Linked DNA regions of Canis lupus familiaris. The protein of the gene in region 1 purifies or fractionates together with the protein of each later gene. This does not show direct contact. Links are inferred from orthologs where the notes say so. Each region holds a gene or a part of one and is shown in the gene's direction. Other genes may lie near its edges. The genes, in order: SHCBP1 and RACGAP1.

What was found.
Region 2: the proteins of SHCBP1 (region 1) and RACGAP1 purify together in Homo sapiens (affinity purification with mass spectrometry; 8 studies listed by BioGRID and IntAct, counting the BioPlex papers as one, with this or other methods). This does not show direct contact. The link is inferred for Canis lupus familiaris from reciprocal best matches to the Homo sapiens genes SHCBP1 and RACGAP1.

What each region holds. Positions count from the first base shown.
Region 1 is NC_049236.1:8,525,744-8,535,385, forward strand, and holds the end of SHCBP1 (SHC SH2 domain-binding protein 1), read left to right. Parts: intron 1-3,455; coding exon 3,456-3,542; intron 3,543-3,919; coding exon 3,920-4,061; intron 4,062-6,055; coding exon 6,056-6,381; 3' UTR 6,382-7,257; downstream 7,258-9,642. UniProt on the Homo sapiens protein: May play a role in signaling pathways governing cellular proliferation, cell growth and differentiation. May be a component of a novel signaling pathway downstream of Shc. Acts as a positive regulator of FGF signaling in neural progenitor cells.
Region 2 is NC_049248.1:41,937,130-41,946,771, reverse strand, and holds part of RACGAP1 (rac GTPase-activating protein 1), read left to right. Parts: intron 1-440; coding exon 441-494; intron 495-1,214; coding exon 1,215-1,295; intron 1,296-1,874; coding exon 1,875-1,992; intron 1,993-3,151; coding exon 3,152-3,282; intron 3,283-3,943; coding exon 3,944-4,108; intron 4,109-5,322; coding exon 5,323-5,418; intron 5,419-5,667; coding exon 5,668-5,866; intron 5,867-7,739; coding exon 7,740-7,845; intron 7,846-8,025; coding exon 8,026-8,158; intron 8,159-8,288; coding exon 8,289-8,424; intron 8,425-9,396; coding exon 9,397-9,505; intron 9,506-9,642.

The sequences.
Region 1 (9,642 bases):
TTACTGTTCTAATTTTAGCCATTCTGTTAGGTGTGTGGTTTTAATTTGCATTTACCTAGTGGTTAATGATGTGGAACATTTTTTCATATGCTTACTTGCCATCCTTCTCTTCAGTGAAATGTCTATTCATGACTTCTGACCATTTTCTAATTGGATTATTTGTTCTTTTTTACTGTAGAGTTTTGAGAGTTCTTTTTATATTCTAGATACTAGTCCTCTGGTGGGTATTTGCTTTGCATACAGTTTTTGTTTTGTTTTTTTCTCTATCCTGAGAGTGTATACACCTGTGAGGCAGGCAGGGAGGGACGGGAGAGAGAGAGAGGGAGAGAGAGAATCCTAAGCAGGCCTCCTATCCAGCTCAGAGCCCCAAGATCATGCTCAACCAACTGAACCACCCGGGTGCCCCTGCAGATTTTTATGCTAGTCTATAGCTTGTCTTTTCATTTTATTCACATGGGCTTTTATAGAACAGAGCTTTAATTTATGATGAAGCCTAATTTATTGGATTTTTCCATTTATGGGTAGTGCTTTTGGTGTTAAGTGTAAGGAACTCTATGCCCAGCCTTAGGTCGCAAGGATTTTCTCTTATTCTTTTCTCCTAAAAATTTTATGGTTTACGTTTTACATGTAAGTCATGATCCGTTTTTGAGTAAATTTTGGTATAAATGTGAATTTTAGGTTAAGGTTTATTTATTTGCCCATAGATGTCCATTTGTAACCACACCATTTCTTAAAAAGGCTGTCATTCCTCCAATAAATTCGTTTTGCACTTTTGTCAAAAATCATCTGGGAAATTTGTGTGGGGATTTCTGTTTCTGTGTTCCCTTCTCCTAATGTGTGGACCTGTCCCTCCACCAACACCTGCTACTGTAAGTCTTGAAATCTGATAGTGATTCCTCCCACTTTGTCTTTTCCAAAATTGTTTCAGCTATTCTAATTCCTTTGCCTTTCAATATATATGTTTTAGAAAAATATTGTCTCTTTCTACAAAAAGTCTGAGATTTTGATAAGAATTTTTGTAAACCTGTATATCAATTTGGAGAGGATAGACACCGTTGTTTTGTTTTGTTTTAAGATTTTATTTATTCAAAAAAAAAAAAGATTTTATTTATTCATGAGAGACACAGAGAGAGGCAGAGACACAGGCAGAGGGAGAAGCAGCCTCCCTGCGGGGAGCCCGACACGGGACTCAAGCCTGGGTCTCCAGGATCAGGACCTGGGCCAGAGGCGGCGCTGAACCGCTGAGCCACCCGGGCTGCCCTTTTTTTTTTTTTAAAGATTTTACTTATTTATTCATGAGAGACACAGAAAGAGAGAGGCAGAAACACAAGCAGAGAGAGAAGCAGGCTCCATGCAGGGAGCCTGATGTGGGACTCAATCCTGGGACTCCAGGACCACGCCCTGGGCCAAAGGCAGTGCTAAACCGCTGAGCCACCCAGGGATCCCCCTATTCACTTTTTTTTTTAGTGCATTTTTTGTCTTTTGTTCAGATTGGGTAGTTTCTATTCTTCTATCTTCCCAGTTTACTGATTCTTTGCTCTGTCTTTTCCTTTCTGCTGGTGAGCCCATCCATGGAGCTTTTTATTTCTGTCATTTTTGAGCTCTGAAATTTCCATTTGGTCCTTTATATTTTCTGTTACTTTGCTGAGCCTTTCTGTTAATTTGTGTGCCTTTCATTTTTCATTTAAGTATGTTCATAATTGCTCATTAAAGCATTTTTATCATGGCTGCTTTAAAATCCTTGTCGGCTAATTCTAACATCTGACAGTTGGTCTTGGCATCTGTTGACAGTTTGACATCTTTCTGGCTCTTGGTTTGGCAAGAGATTTTCACCTGAAACCTGGATATTTTGTGGTATTATGAGAGCCTGGATCTTCTGTTTTAACTTCGGTGACACCAGTACAGGAAGGGTTGAGGTGGAGGGTACTGCCTCGTTACTGAGAGGTGCAGGGAGGGAGAAGTCCGGGTTCCCCATTTAGCTTCCATTGACACCCAGTTTGAATGGGGGAGCTCTTTGTTACTGCTGGGAGGGGGTAGAAATTCTGATTTCTTACATGATTTCCCTGATGCCACGGCCCAAGGCAGTGGCCTTGTTACACTGGGCAGTGGTGAAAGGCCAGGCTTCCTGCCAGGCCTGCTCTGGTACCACCCTAGTGGGGAGGAGCAGTAGCACTTTGACTGTCGGGTGGGAGTGCTGGCGCTTTGGCTGGTGGCTTCCTACTTGGCCTTCTCTGACACCACCCCACGGGGAGAGTTGCGGTGCCTGGTGATAGTCTTGAGAAGGATGTTTATGTTCTCCTTTCGGCATTTGCCAGCATGTGTGGGGACGGTCCACTGTTTTTATCTGTGGTGTTTGGCTGGCATAGAGCTATAATTGTCTGAAAGTTTTCTGACTTTCCAGGTTGCCTGGTTCTTTGGCTAGAGAGAGCAGGCTTTTCAGGAGGCTTCTGGTCTGTGTCTGGTGTTCGTGGATTGCCAGCTTCTTCAGCCTCAAGTCTGGGGAAGAAAGCCCAATTAGCAGATCTTTTTACCTAATGGAGAGTTAGATTGGTGTGTAGTGGGTCATCTGGGCATATATGTTCTCCTATCCCTAAAAGGGATATAATAATAAATTTTTCTCATGGCATACTCTCAACATACATACAGTAAATGTGTTATAAATGGTTAATAGCAGTGTTTCTTCATGTATGATATTATATATGAAATTATTCCGAAAATGATTTCTTAAATAACTAGAGGTTTGAATAAATTATTTTTACTTCCCAAAGTGCTTAGTATAACTTCAGTAAATAAATGATTCCTGTTATTGTTACTTCTTAATTGATACCATGTAGTCCCAAGGAATAATGTGAAAGAATTGTTCCATGCATGGATCTTTCTGGTTACTTTGTATAAATGATACACTTGAATTGGCTGCTAATTTTAACATGTGTGTAGTAGTGGAGGCCATTAATTCTTTAGCTCATACTGATTTTTAAGTTATGTTGAGATGTTTTAAAACTGATGGGTTTTAAAAAATATCAGGTCTATTTTCTATCCTTATATTACAATATTTTACTAGACTCAAATACTGTTCTCCAGCTAATTGAGTATCTCAGAGAAGATGTTCATTTTAAATAATTGCAAAATTGTTAAATACTTTGTTCTTTTTCTTTGGCAGGATCAGAAAACTGACTTGTCCAGAATGAAAGGGAGTGGGACAGTAATCAAGTGTTGATAATCTTAGCCAGTGTTTTGTGTGTATATCTGTGAATCATTTTTGAAAGTGATAAATGATAGAGAATTTGCTGGAAATGGAGCAAATGGAAATGTTGATTAGAAATATCTAACAAAGCTTTCTGTAAAATACTTTGTATTTGCACTATGTTAAGGTTTAAGAAGTGATTGTAATAAGCCTTCTCTTGTAGTCTTGTCTTTAAAAAACTGATTGTAACACCTTAAAACATAACTTGTAGGGTGCTGGTATAGAAATCTATCCAGGGAGTAAGTGCACCTTAAGTGACAATGGGATCCATCACTGCAAGGAAGGGATACTCATTAAGGTGAGTGCTCCTGCTAAAACACCCTCTTTCCAAAAGTTAGTTAGAATGGTTTCATACAAGAAATAATTGTGTTTCATTAAATTCTCATGTTGAGTTCTATTGTTTTCTGGTTTTGAAAGCACAAGCAGTATATACATCTTAATAATCATCTTGATATCAATAGTTGGTGATGTTCTTTTGTGAGAATATGTTGCTGCCTATAGATCTGCAGAAATGACAGAGGAATGCTATGTCACTCAGCTCGGACTGCACTACCACTTATTAATAAGCATAGCCTTCTCCTTTATTTTTAGAATAGCCGGGAAAAAGTGAGATTTTAAAAATCAGGTGGTGTTGAATGTGACAGTTCCTTAAAACATTTGTTTTCAATGTCACAGGACTTCTTAGATGAGCATTATGACATTCCCAAAATATCCATGGTGAATAATGTCATACATAATAATGAAGGTTATGGTGTTGTCTTGGTGAAACCTACAATCTTCTCTGACCTGCAGGAAAATGTCCAAGATGAAACCGAAGGTATGCTGTATTTAGTGATTTTTAAAAATAAAAACTGGATCTAGTTTGCTTTATTTCAACATTGAACTCTGATTAAGGATCCAAGTCTTCCTTTCCTTTAACAAAGATAACTGGCATATGCTTGGACTTGGGGTTGAAGAAGCTTGGGAAAGCTATAACATTGCAGACTCCCAGGGTGAAAGAAACTTTCAAGGTCAACTAGTTCACCTATTCCTTCTAAACCTTGGTGTGTGGTTGTAATAAGAATATTATTTGGTCCTGTAGTTCCCTTCTTTTTTTTATTTTTTATTTTTTTATTTTTATTTATTTATTTTTTTTTTATGATAGTCACAGAGAGAGAGAGAGGCAGAGACATAGGCAGAGGGAGAAGCAGGCTCCATGCATCGGGAGCCCGATGTGGGATTCGATCCCGGATCTCCAGGATCGTGCCCTGGGCCAAAGGCAGGCGCCAAACCGCTGTGCCACCCAGGGATCCCGTGTAGTTCCCTTCTTATCATGCTTGGCTTTCTGTATATTTATAGAATAAAGCTGGACATATGATGGCAATGGTAGCTCCTGCTGGCGTTTGTTAAGGGTGGAGGCAGAGAAGTGCGTGTGCCAGTCTGCATTTGCTGGAGGGGATCGTGAAGTTTGTTTCTATTTTTTATTGGCAGAAGTAAATGCCTCCCTGTCAACTGTCTTTCTATGGCAGCAAAGCTGAGTTAAATCGTTAGGAAATTCATGACTTTCAAGCCATGACCCAGATTACTATGAAATCTCAGTCAGAGAGGGATTAAGCATTGGCATGGGTGAGGAAAGTAGTCCTCATCATCCTCAAGACCCACTCTAGTTATCTGTGAGTTCTTTTTCTTCACACAGTTCTGTAGTTAGACGTCCAAATGGGCTTGTCTGCATTATGTACTTAGGGTCTCACAAGGGTGAACACAGAGGTGAGTGGGCTTTTGTCTGAGAGTTCTGGGGGGAAGGTCGGCTTCTGAACTCATTCATATCATTGGCAGAACTCATTTGCTTGGGCAGCCCCAGTGGCTCAGCGGTTTAGCGCCTGCCTTCAGCCCAGGGCGCGATCCTGGAGACCCAGGATCGAGTTCCACATCGGGCTCCCGGTGCATGGAGCCTGCTTCTCCCTCTGCCTGTGTCTCTGCCTCTCTGTGTGTGTGTGTGTGTGTGTGTGTGTGTGTGTCTCTCATGAATGAATAAATAAAATCTTAAAAAAAAAAAAAAGAATTCATTTGCTTGAGGTCATAGGAATGAGGTCTCCATTTTTTGGCTATATTGGCTGGGGATTGTCCTCAGTTTCTAGAGGCCAGGCTTGGCCTATAACCCTCTGTATCTCCAACTTTCCTCAAGAGAACCTCCCTCAAGGCAAATGTTGCTCATGCTTCAAATCTCTCTCACATTATGAATTTCTTCATGCTTTCTTTTCCTTCTTTTAAAGAGCCCCTATGACTGGATTAGGGACACCTAATTATCTTCTTCAAGTCAGCTGCTTAGTAACCTTAATGACATGTGCAAAATCATTTTGCCATTTAGCAGTCATGAAGGTAGCACCAGGGGTTGGGCGTTGCAGGAACCATCTAGAATTCTACCCCAGATACCTACTCACTGAGAATGCTGGCATCAGCTGCTGGAGTGGAGTTCCTTTAGGAAGAGTGGCACTGTCTTATTAATCTTTGCATCTAGCCCCTAAAGCCATGCGTAGTAGGTAGTAAATACTCAGGAAAGGTCTGTTAAGTGAAGGAGATTCTAGGGTAAAAAGAGAAAAGAATTCAAAATTGGTAATCCTTTTGAAAGGAGAGTCAGAAAGCTTTGGTACAAAGAGGAAAACGACTACTCGTTGAGCTACTTACAGCAAAGAGTTTGTAGAATCTACTCAGATGATGGCAGGAATCCTTGGCAGAAAAAACTTGAAAGCTCTCACAGAATATAGAAATATATATTTTTTTGTGGAGTTATTTTGTACATTTAACCTTATTTATTATAATTTATTTCTCCAGAAAATAGAGCACTTAAAGTTCCAACAAGTGAAGAGGCAGATACAGCAGAAAGGATAGATTTAGAGGAGCTGATTCAGTGTGCAACTGGCAAAATGGAGCTTTATGCAAGATCCAGCCTTTCTGAGCAAGTTGAAGGCAACTGTGAAATTGTGAATGAACTAGTTGCTGCCTCCACACAGAAGGGCCAGATGAAGAAGAAAAGGTTGAGTGAACTGGGGATCACGCAAGCTGACGACAAGTTAATGTCACAGGAGATGTTTGTTTCAATTGTGGGGAACCAGTTTAAGTGGAATGGGAAAGGGAGTTTTGGCACATTTCTTTTCTGACCACCATGATGTAAATAGATAGAAAAATAGTGGATTTTGCACATGCTGCCCTAAGAGTCACTGCTGCTGTGGTAGTTTGCTTCATGTCTGTATTTCACATTTGATATATTTGATTGGGTGTGAGTGAAATGACATCTATTTCTGTCTGCAGGTGTTGCACAAGAGACATTTCCTCTGTATAAGGAAGGTCATAAAAACATATAAAATAGAAATATAAAATAGAAAATGAAGATTTCTTATCTGGAAAGTCTTGCTTTCTCAAACACATCCTTCTGTCGTATTATTAAGCCTATCAGTAACTTTCTAGTATAAATACACTTTAACCTAGCACTTCGGACACGAGGAAGACAGAGAATACAAGATGAGTGCACAGAAATGCAATAGGTGTCAAATGTGCAGTGTTCTTACACTTGTCTTTTTCTCCCAATTAACAGCAAGTCTGATTTCCATGCTGCATTTGCATAATACTTGTCTTAAAATAAAAGCTTTTATGATTGGGAGGTTATCTGTGTAATCAGACTTATTGAGAATCTGAGTGTGATGCATTTTTATGTTGAACTATGTAATCATCAAAACAGTAATAGATAGCATGGCAGGTTTGAAACATGAGATGTGTTATTCAGAGCCAGTGCATAAGTAGAGCATTTTCACTGTTGCTGAATATGAATGATTAAAAAGAAGTTTTTTTTTTTTCGCCATAACAGTATTCTGATCAAATTTCAAGTATCTTAGACAAAGTGATTACTTTTACAACCTATATCAGCTCTGTGTTCTTGAATATCATATTGTAAAGCACAGCTTTTAAAATATTTATATTTTTAAAAAGTGTATGTGTCATTACTGATTAAAATTAAAATGATGAAATAAAAAATTGAATCTTGTTATATTTTTTCCAGATGCATTATGGGCCATAGCATATGTGTAGCATATGTAGCATGTGTGGTCCTTTGGAATGTGCACAAAGTTTATCCTTTTAGTGTTTTTTTTTTTTTTAATGTTTCAGAAAGAGTATTAAGGTTGGGGATCCCTGGGTGGCTCAGCAGTTTAGCACCTGCCTTTGACCCAGGGCGCGATCTTGGAGTCCCAGGACCGAGTCCCACGTCGGGCTCCTGGCATGGAGCCTGCTTCTCCCTCCTCCTGTGTCTCTGCCTCTTTCTCTCTCTCTCTCTATGTCTATGATGAATAAATAAAGAAATCTTTTAAAAAAAGGAAGAGAGTATTAAGGTTTTCCTTCAGTGTGGTTGGTTCTTAAATTGCATAATACTAAATGTGGAAGAATTTATGTTGGATATCTTGTCTGACTATTGAAAGGCATTTTTCTTTTACTCTTTTAAATCCTGTTGCAGAAGAAATGCTAATTCTGCATTAGTTGGAGCCAAATACTGATTTAAAAACCATTTATTCAACTTTAAAAAAAGTCAAATTGGTTTTCCAATCAAATTTCCACTTTATCTTGGAGTTTAGATTTCATATATTGTAACTGGCTGGAGTGAGTGTCAAGAGAATGACAAGTAGCAAGGTAAGTTAATACCTTCTTTATTCCTTTTTATAGCAGGATAGTTTTTATTTTATTTTATTTTTGAAAGATTTTATTTATTCATGAGAGACAGAGGCAGGGACACAGGCAGAGGGAGAAGCAGGCTCCATGCAGGGAGCCGATGGGTGACTCGATCTTGGGACTCCAGGATCACATCCTGGGCCGAAGGAAGACCTCAACCACTGAGCCATCTAGGCGTCCTGCATGATAGTTTTTAGATTTCATTTCTATCTTAGTTTAAATTTAAACTTACATTAATTTTTATTCTCTGTGTTATTAGTATGCCTAATGCATTCTCGTCTAAGTTATGTAGAGTACATTTGGCTCAGTTGTGAAGATGACTTAGTACAGGGGATAGGGAGAGAGTTCTGGAAGGGTGTGGATTTGACGTTTGAGGTGGAAACACTGACATGGAAGAAGGGCTGTCTTCAGTGTTGATTGAATTATATGTCCTATCTCTGTGGTCTGTTCTTAGTGTAATCTCAGATTTATGGCAGATATCAAAGATACCTTGATTTCAGTATTTTCTTTGAGATTCTCTAGAAGTATCTCCTTTGGTTTTTTATTCTGGTATTATGCCGCAGATATGTACATGAACGTATTTTCATTCATTCACCCAGAGGTCATTTGTGCTCAAGTGTGTCCATACCACTTTCCTAGAACTTCTGCAACTTCTAGTTGTAGGAGGTTGGAGAAATCCCCACTTAGCAGATTTGGGTCTTTAGAGGGAGGTTGAAGAAACTTACCAATAAAACGTTGATTTTAAGATTTATTTATTCAAGAGAGACATAGAAAGAAGTGAGACACAGGCAGAGAGAGAAGCGGCTCTGCAGGAAGCCCCATGTGGGACTCGATCCCAGATCCCGGGATCACGCCCTGAGCTGAAGGCAGACAGATGCTCAACCGCTGAGCCACCCAGGCGCCCCTAGACATAGCATTTAATTGTATAACATTTTATTTTATTCTATGACTTAAAAATTACCTATGTATACAAAAATTTGTAAGTCTTAATATGTGTTAAAGTGAACATTCTCTTTTCTTAGTTCTCACTGTTAATAGAAAAATCTATATTCTTTAGAAATAATAAAAAAGGCATAGTATATAATCAGAAAATTAACTGTTTAAAACCTACTATAGAAATCTATATTTTTTGTTGTTTGTGTTATACTCCATTGTCAGAATTCTTTTATTTATAAGTGATAGGAACCCCACTCAGATGAACTGATTAGGTTGGTTCCTGCAAGTAGGAGGTCTGAAGACTAGAGCTGATTTGGGGCATGGTTGTGTCATTCTGTCCTTTAATTCTGGCTTTCCTGGTGTTGGCTTCAAATCCTCAGGTTGGCTTTTTCCATGTGGTGGCAAAAAGCCCTCAGTAGCCCCAGTTTTTATGTCCCCAGAAGGGGGAGAGATCTAGCATTTGGTTGGTTTTGCCAGTGTCTGCTTGTCTTTGACCAGTCACTAGAAACCTGAGGGATGGCGCCATCTGCTCTCATTGAATCACTATTAACCCCATGAAGAGGGGTAGAGTTTCATGATTGACTCATTCTGCAGGTGGTGAAAGCAGTTTCTAGAGGAAAAGTGTTCTGTTTCCAGAAGCAGATGGAAGGGCGGCTTTGGAGGCAAAAACATAGATGTCAGGCTAGCAATGGATGAGGCATGACTTAACCTATTCCCCCATGTTGATGGGCTTTCAGGTTTTCTTTCAATTTTTCATTATTACAAAT
Region 2 (9,642 bases), on another chromosome or scaffold:
AGAAGTTGATTCTTTAACCTTTTCTTGCCTCTGTGGTATTGACTCCTGACTCTATTATAATAGCTTCAATTTTGGAGATAAAGCAAGTTAACTCACCATAGCTCTATAGCTATAGCACTTGAGACCCTCCCCTTTCCCTCTCCCCAAATTGTCAGGCAGTCTGTCTCAAAAAGCTTTTCGAGGGGCGCCTGAGTGGCTCAGCAGTTGAACGTCTGCCTTCAGCTTAGGGCATGATCCTGGGGTCCTGGGATCGAGTCCCACATCAGGCTCTCTGTGGGGAGCCTCCTCCCTCTACCTGTGTCTCTACCTCTCTATTTCCCATGAATAAATAAATAAATTCTTAAAAAAAAAGCCTTTCAAGTTTTCTGTAAATTTATTTGCACAGGGTTTAGGGGAGGCCTAACCACAGAGAGAAACTAATGCAGTGTAATTGTCAACAGGATTGGGATTCTTCCTTGGTAAAGACTTTCAAACTAAAGAAGAGAGAAAAGAGGGTACGTATGGTTTTATTTAGTTTTTGCTGTTGTTTTTACAAAATTACAATAAAGGAATTTTCTCTAGAAGTTTTTCCATGATACAGCATTCCTGACTTATGTTGCTCTAATCATTTTTAAACACCTATTACAAATGAATTCATCCTGGGGGCTGTATTGCCAATCCTCGAGGTAGTAACTCAGGACAGAATCTTGTCCTATTTCACTGTTCTGGCTGCCTCAGTTCATTCATATATTGGAAAAGGATTTACTTAAGTTTGTTTTGAGTTGTCATAGGAATTTTTACGCAGGACTTTTGTACTCTAAAAAATTTTCAGATGAAGTACGTGTATAATGGGATATGCAGAGCTCTGTCTGTGTGTGCTTGTTTAGGGTACTTAATATGTGTCCAAAGACTTCATGTCTTTTGATAGGATTACAGCTCTACTTTTTCTGGTGCTGTCATCTAAATTTTTCCAAAGCTTGGTTGTTTCTTCCAGGGCATTGAGGGCATTTTTGTGTTGGTACAACTTAAGCTTTATGTGGAAATAGAATGATATATATAACTAACTAACTAACTAACTAACTAACTAACTAACTAACTAACTAACTAACATTGTTATTTACCATAGCCCTGGTACCTAGGACTTGTACCCAAGTTGTCTAATGGAATAATGTTATCTTCTGTGCTTCAGGTCTTCTATTTGGCACTAAACTAATTGGTCTTTGTCTCCTTTCCAGCGCTCTAGTAGCCGACAGTTCATTGATGGTCCCCCTGGACCTGTAAAGAAGACTCGTTCCATTGGCTCCACAGTAGACCAGGTAAGAATAGTCAGGCCAAGAGAATTGTGGTTGTGAACACATTAGAGATTAGTGGCCCCAAGCACTAAGAATCCTGAGTCAAGGGGCACCTGGGTGGCTCAGTCTGTTAAACATATGATCCTTGGGGTCCTGGAATCAAGCCCCACGTTGGGCTCCCTGCTCAGTGAGGAGTCTCCTTGTCCCTTTCCCTCCCCTTCTGCTCCTGACCCTGCTTGTGCTCTCTCTGTCTCTCTCTCAAATAAATAAATAGAATCCTGAATCAACGCTGTAATGTTATTTTGAGAGAGAGATTTGGTGAGTTTTTCTGTGTAATAATAGGATCCTTATCATCCACATGAATGGAATCACTCTGAGTAAACAACTGTTGGTTTTGTATTTGATTCTATGTAGTTGCTTATGTGTATGCCTCTGTGACCTATATTTCTGTTCTAAAGTACAAGGTTTCAACTGAGTGTTTTGAGCTAGGGCCTTAAGTCCTGGCCAAGATTTAGGAGTTTTCAGCCACTCCAAAACACCCTATAGTGGAGGGGAAATGAGATTCACATGTTTGTTCTTCCCTCATTTCTACTTTTGTTTCAGGGGAATGAATCTATAGTTGCAAAAACTACGGTGACTGTTCCCAATGATGGCGGGCCCATCGAAGCTGTGTCCACAATTGAGACTGTACCATATTGGATGAGAAGCCGAAGGAAAACAGGTCCATTGGGTTTCTAACTAAATTGCCTGTGTAAAACAACTAGTAAAATTGGGGGAGACTTGGTTTTTTAAGAACCTTTTGAGGCAGGGAGTAGATGTTGTGGGTGGTTTCTTACTGCTGCTTACTGAAGGCCAGGACACTGTCATACTCTACCTTTAGATTGCTAGCCTGCCCTATGCCACTCACATGTAACTCGTTGTTGTTTTTTTTTTCCTATAGATTATTTAAGAGTGAGAGTGGGGGGAGGGGCAGAGGGTGAGAATCTTCAAGCAGACTCCATGAGCATGGAGCCTACATGGGACTCGATTCCATGACTCATGAGACCCTGACCTGAGCCAAAATCAAGAGTCAGATACTCAACCTATTGAGCCAGCCAGGTGCCCTATAATTTGTTATTCTTTTTTTTTTTTTTTTAATTTTTTTATTGGAGTTCAATTTGCCAACATATAGCATAACACCCAGTGCTCATCCTGCCAAGTGCCCCCCTCAGTGCCCATCACCCAGTCACCCCAACCCCCCGCCCACCTCCCCTTCTACTACCCCTTGTTCATTTCCCAGAGTTAGGTGTCTCTCATGTTTTGTCATCCTCACTGATATTTTCACTCATTTTCTCTCCTTTCCTTTTATTCCCTTTCACTAATTTTTGTATTCCTCAAATGAATATAATGTTTGTCCTTTTCCGATTGACTTATTTCACTCAGCATAATACCCTCCAGGTCCATCCACGTCGAAGCAAATGGTGGGTATTTGTCATTTCTAATGGCTGAGGAATATTCCATTGTATACATAGACCACAGCTTCTTTATCCATTCATCTTTCGATGGACACCGAGGCTCCTTCCACAGTTTGCCTATTGTGGACATTGCTGCTAGAAACATCGGGGTGCAGGTGTCACGGTGTTTCACTGCATTTGTATCTTTGGGATAAATCCCCAGCAGTGCAATTGCTGGGTTGTAGGGCAGATCTATTTTTAACTCTTTGAGGAACCTCCACACAGTTTTCCAGGTAACTTGTTATTCTTGAAATGATTTTTCTGCATAGCGATTGTAGTCACTTCTGATTATGGTTACAAATTACTGGTCATCTACCAGTTATATTAAACTTGGGGTTAAAATTCAGAAGGAACAAAATATTAAGCTTAAAGTTGCTTGTTTTCTAGGTACTTTACAGCCTTGGAACAGTGACTCTACCTTGAGCAGCAGGCAGCTAGAGCCAAAAACTGAGACAGACAACTCTGGCACCCCGCAGAATAATGGAGGGATGCGCCTGCATGACTTCGTCTCTAAGACGGTAGATCTGTGATCACTTTGTTCTTTTGGGCACGCTTAAGTTTTTGATTGTGAAAGTAAAATATACTAGAAACAAATTTAAATAACTCAATATTAGAAAGTTAAATGTCAGATCTCCTTCTTTCAATTCCACTCTTCAGGGTTCACTATCAGTTACAGAAGATGTCTATCTTTACATTCTGTGAGGAATATTAAATTAAAACAAGCCAACTTTTCAGAAGCAATTGTTGGTGCTTTTTAGTGATACACATTTACAGTGTATGCTTGAATACAGCATGTTTTTCCTTTGTCCCATTGGATTTCCTCATAAAAACCTAAGCAATCTGACAGGCTCAGAAGAGTTTATTTGAGCCACAGGAAAGTAAGTGGCAGAGTTAATATGGAAACTTTGTTAACTTCTTGTCAACAGATTCTTTCCTCTAGTGTACACTGCCCCCTTCCAGCTGGATGACCTCATGCAAGTGACACAGCCTCTTTTGGCTTCCGTTTCCTTATCTTAAAAGAAAGAACAAAAACCTCTTTTGTAGGATTATTGTGAGAATTACACAAATAGGTGTAAAGGGATTAGGAAGTTATTTGGTACTAAGTGCCTAATAAATTAACTATTGATGATGATAGTTTTCTAAGACCACTCTGTTCTTTCTGCCCTCTTTTGTCCTCAGGTTATTAAACCTGAATCTTGTGTTCCATGTGGCAAGCGGATAAAATTTGGCAAGCTGTCTCTGAAGTGTCGAGACTGTCGTGTGGTCTCTCATCCAGAATGTCGGGACCGCTGTCCCCTTCCCTGCATTCCTACTCTGATAGGAACACCTGTCAAGATTGGAGAGGTACGACCTGTGGGGCCCGTCTTTGTGGTATGGCTTCTTTGGCTTTTTCAAAGCTAAATGTCAGTTTTAATCCTAAAATTAGTGATGCCAAGCATAGTTTTTCCCCAGGAATGATGAAGAGAAATGGTAAAATGTTAACTTTCAGTAGACTCCTGCTTGGGTTTGTCTGTTTCTACATCAGACTCTTCTTCCCCTCCCTCCTTCCACCTTCTCCCCGCTTCTCTGTTCATCCTCCCTCCCTCCCTTTCCTTCTTTCCTTCCTTCCTCTCCCTTCTCCTTCCTTCCCTCTTCTTCTCCTCCTTCCCCTCTCTACATGCTATTCCTGTTTTATAAAATCTCAAACATACACAGAAGTAGAGAGATTAGGACAACTGACCTCTGGTTCCTGTCACTCAGCTGTTGTGATTACTAGTTCACATCCAAGCTTGACTTATCAGTACCCCCCTGTTCTCCTCCTGGCCCTGTCCAGTAAATTATCTTGAAACGAATCCCAGCCATCACGTGATTTCATCTGTGAATGTACTTTCTCTTATGTTAGAGGTATTCCATACTAGGCTATTAAAATTAGATTGCTTATTTCTAAAAACTGATTCAGTCTATAAAGAAATTATTTGTTGTATGAACAACATTAACAAGATTCAAAACAAAATGATTATGCTGCTACCCAGCCCCTAGCGAATCAAATGTTACTTTTCTTTAATCTTAACAGTTCTTATTTGTGCGTGTAATCGGTTACAGATTTTCTCTACTCCAATAGAGAACCATGGACCTCTCCCCTTCAGATAGGTTTGTGTCCTGATCAACTGTTAATTGTATTAAGTAATTTTTCTTACTAAGAATAATTTAGGGGTAAAAAAGGTTTTCCTTTTTTAGAATAATAAATTACTTCCTATTAAAGGCCATACGTATAATCTCATTATTTCTTGTTTTCTGAGGCCCTTGAATAGAGGACCAGCGGGGGCAGAGTTGTAGCCAGTCCATCTTACTACTTGTTCACCCAAGAGTGTGGTATATGTGACCATAAATCAGTCCTGGTGTGGTTGTAGGAAAAGTATAGTTGAGAGTCTCTGATCTAATATATACTCTGGGAATAGGAATTTAAAAGTAGACATGATGTCCCAGCCTCAGTATTAGTTTGGAGATGGTTTTTCCTCTTCCTCTTGATTTGCTGGTCTAAGTGATATAAATAATAATTTAAAACTCTCCCTTTTCAGGGAATGCTGGCAGATTATGTGTCCCAGACTTCTCCAATGATCCCGTCCATTGTTGTCCATTGTGTAAATGAGATTGAACAGAGAGGGCTGACTGAGGTAAGAGTCGACCTTCAGAGGCACCTGGGTGGCTCAGTTGGTTAAGCGACTCTTGATACTGGCTCAGGTCGTGATGAGATGGAGCCCGTGTCAGTCTCCTTAAGATTCTCTCTCTCCCTCTCCTCTGCCCTACACCTGTCTGGCTCTGCCCCCGACTCTAAAGAAAAAAGTTAATCTGCAGAGATCGTGAATTTGTTATTTGTGTTAATAATTAGGAGTTCTTAACTGAAAGTGTCACCTTAATAATAGACAGGCCTGTATCGGATCTCTGGCTGTGACCGAACAGTAAAAGAGCTGAAAGAGAAATTCCTCAGAGTGAAAACTGTACCCCTCCTCAGCAAAGTGGATGATATCCATGCTATTTGTAGCCTCCTGAAGGACTTCCTTCGAAACCTCAAAGAACCCCTTCTGACCTTTCGGCTAAACAAGACTTTCATGGAAGCAGCAGGTAAGAGTAGATCTTAATACTGGATTGTGAGTTCCACATGGGCAGGATTATTTTGACTCTTCGTTTCCTGCCCAGTGCGGTGCATGCAACATAGTGGATGCATAAATGCTTTGATGGAAGAATAACGATCTGTGTTCCTGGTGCCCATCCTCTTCCTGTCTAAACAAAGTTTTTGTTTGTTTTGGGGTCAAGTTTGATGCTGTCCTTTTGAACTTAGAGCCATCATTGATTCCTTTTCCCCACACCACCTTTAATCCGTTGGCATATCTTGCCAGCAAATGTCTTGTAAAATTTATCTTTTTCTTTTTTTTTAAGATTTATTTACTTATTTATTCATGATAGACACACACAGAGAGAGAGAGAGAGAGAGGCAGAGACACAGGAGAAGGGAGAAGCAGGCTCCATGCCGGGAACCCAACGTGGGACTCGATGCCGGGACTCCAGGATCGCGCCCTGGGCCAAAGGCAGGCGTTAAACTGCTGAGCCATCCAGGGATCCCCCCAAATTTTTTTTTTTAATTTTTTTTTATTTATTTATGATAGTCACAGAGAGAGAGAGAGAGGCAGAGACACAGGCAGAGGGAGAAGCAGGCTCCATGCACCGGGAGCCTGACGTGGGATTCGATCCCGGGTCTCCAGGATCGCGCCCTGGGCCAAAGGCAGGCGCTAAACCGCTGCGCCACCCAGGGATCCCTGGGATCCCCAAAATTTATCTTAAACTTGAAATTCTTGAAATTTGGGACACCTGGGTGGCTCAATGGTTGAGTCTGCCTTTGCCTCAGGGCATGTTCCTGGAGTCCCGGGCTCTCTGCATGGAGCCTGCTTCTCCTCCCTTTTCCTATGTCTCTGGCTCTCTCTGTGTGTCTCTTGTGAATAAATAAATAAAATATTTTAAAAAAAGTTAAAGTTGAAATTTGCCACTCCTGCTACTACCACTCTTGACATCTCTCACCCTGGAGTGATGGAGGAACCTACTCATTTTCCTCTTTCTACTCCTGCCCTCTGCACTATGATCCTCAAACGGTACCTAAAAGGGTCCTTCTGAAATTTAAATTAGATGACGTCTCTTCTGTCTTTAGTATTCTCCAGTGACTCCCCATCACTCTCAGAATAAATCCATGGTCCTTAACATGGCCCCAAAAGCCCCACCTGTCTGATTTGGCTCCTGATTCCATCTCTAGTATCATTTCTCTCAATCCCTCCCTTCTTTCTTTCTTCTCCATTTATCCTGGAATACTTGGTACATAGTTCTTGATACATAACCAAATTTATTCCCATCTTGAGGCTGTTGCATCAGCCTGCAATGTATTATATGATTTGCTCCTTTATTTCTTTTCAGGTTTCTTTTTGGGTATCTAGTCCTCAGAAACACCTTTCCTGACTGACCACCTTGTCCAAAGTAACTGTTCCCATTACTTTCTAGCTTCTACTGTGTATCACTACCTGATCAAGGCCTGCTTTTTGACTAACTCCTCCTATAGAATGTAGGTTCAGTGAGGCAAGGTCTTTGTTTAATGGTGCTTTGCCTGAGCACTTAGTATCTGGTCCATAGTAGGGCCCTGACTATGTCTTAAAACCAACACCTTCTTGGTAATTATAGTCAGTGCAGTTGTGTGCCTGCCTCCCCAGCATATGGGTTGCTAGCTGCTTTCCCTAACTGCAGGAGCTGATATTTTTTTAAAGGTTCTGATTTCTAATATTGAGCTGTTGGCCAGTGTTCTGCTTGTTAATGAAACTGGAGTTTGATGCAGTCATGAACCTAATCAGAAGTTTCAGAAGCTTACTGTATAGATGAGACTTTGTGGTCGATCACTTGGAAGCACGCTGTCAAGGGAAAGAAGTCAGACCTCTTGGTGCTTTCTTTTCATTTACAGAAATCACAGATGAGGACAACAGCATAGCTGCCATGTACCAGGCTGTTGGTGAACTGCCCCAGGCCAACAGAGACACATTAGCTTTTCTCATGATTCACTTGCAGAGGTGAGTACAGCAGAAACTCACTTTTGGGAGGGGAGTTTGGGAATTTGCCACTGGGAACATAATGTGGGTTGGGTGTTAGGGAGGAAATGTGATGGGTGAATTGTTCCCTGGTAGATCTTATATTGTGGTCTGTGTTTAAGCAGAAGAGCAAGTCTTTTAAATGAATGTTCTCTTGCTTAGAGTGGCTCAGAGCCCAAACACTAAAATGGATGTGACCAATCTGGCTAAAGTCTTTGGGCCTACCATAGTTGCCCATGCTGTGCCCAATCCAGATCCAGTGGTTATGTTACAGGACATCAAGCGTCAGCCCAAGGTAGGCAAGTCCACCATATATATAAAATACATAACCATGTATAAACCTGTGTGACGTGATAACGTGAGAGACCGGGGGGAGATAAGCCCTGAGCTTTGGAAGTGTGCTAACTTATTTAGTGGCTTTTTAGGTGGTAGAGCGCCTGCTTTCCCTGCCCCTGGAATACTGGAGTCAGTTTATGATGGTGGAACAAGAGAACATTGAACCCATTCATGTCATTGAAAACTCAAATGCCTTTTCAACACCGCAGACACCAAGTAGTAAAGGTAAGGCCCAAGTTGTGTTTCTAAGGGACCTGACTCTGTTCCTGGTTTTAGCAAAGGTCAGCTCTGCCTTTGCTAGAGCTGTTTGGAATTCATATTCTTCAGTAAAAATTAAATTCATTGTGAGTATTCTAACATTAAAAGAAAATTTATACAGTTCTATCATCCTAATTTTTTTTTCACTTTTATGGAACATGGTTCTTCTTTTCGTTATATATATGGATATTTTAGAAATATAATAACGATTCAGCTATGATTTGATCTTATTTCACTTAGCATATTGTGAGAACTCTTCCTGTTACTATATAATTTTATCATTTTTATGATCATAAACTGTAATTTACTTAACATGTTCTACTAGAGGTTGATGTTATTTTTGAATTTTCCATAGTTACTAATAATGCTGCTATCAGCATTATATGTGTCTACCTTTGTTTTCCCCTAATGATAAATTCCCAAGAATGGGAATAGTTGAATTAAAGGGCTTGAACATTTAAAAAAAAAAAAAAAGACAAAAATGGCTTGAACATTTTTATGTTTCACCAACTTGATTTCTTAAAGGCTTTTGCCATTTTGTATTGCCACCAAAAATGTTTGAGGTTGGTTTCTTCCAATTTGTACTGGCATTGGAGACCTGATCTCTCATTTTTACAAGATCTTTTTAAAGAAAGAATGTTGTTTTTTTAACACTGGTCAGAATCAAGTGGTCAGACATTAGATTTGTGAATGTTGGAGTTTGAGAATGGCCTAAATCAGGAAACAAATGTCAGCTATTCATTGATCAGAGGCCTGCATGGTTCAAAAGATATACTGGTGTGTTAGAGACGATGACAAAAATGATCACTGGGGCTTTGCTTGGGTCTCTAACCTTAGCTCTTAAGTGCTTCATAGAATATTCAGCTCAAAACTGGACACCCACAAGGGTGCTTTCCTTTTTGCCCCTCCTTTAAAAATGTGTCTTACCTTTGATTGAAGTGAGCTTACTGGGGCCCGTGACCACTCCTGAGCATCAGCTTCTCAAGACTCCTTCTTCTAGTTCCCTGTCACAGAGAGTACGCTCCACCCTCACCAAGAACACACCCAGGTATGTGGAACTGGCCGGCTTAGGAAGTAAAAAAGGACTCTTCCCTTAGACCTCTTTTCCCAGCATAGTGAAGCTTATCAAAGGGAAAATTGAATGAGGCCTCAGCTTAGCAGCTAGCCTTTGAAAGCTAATCTGGA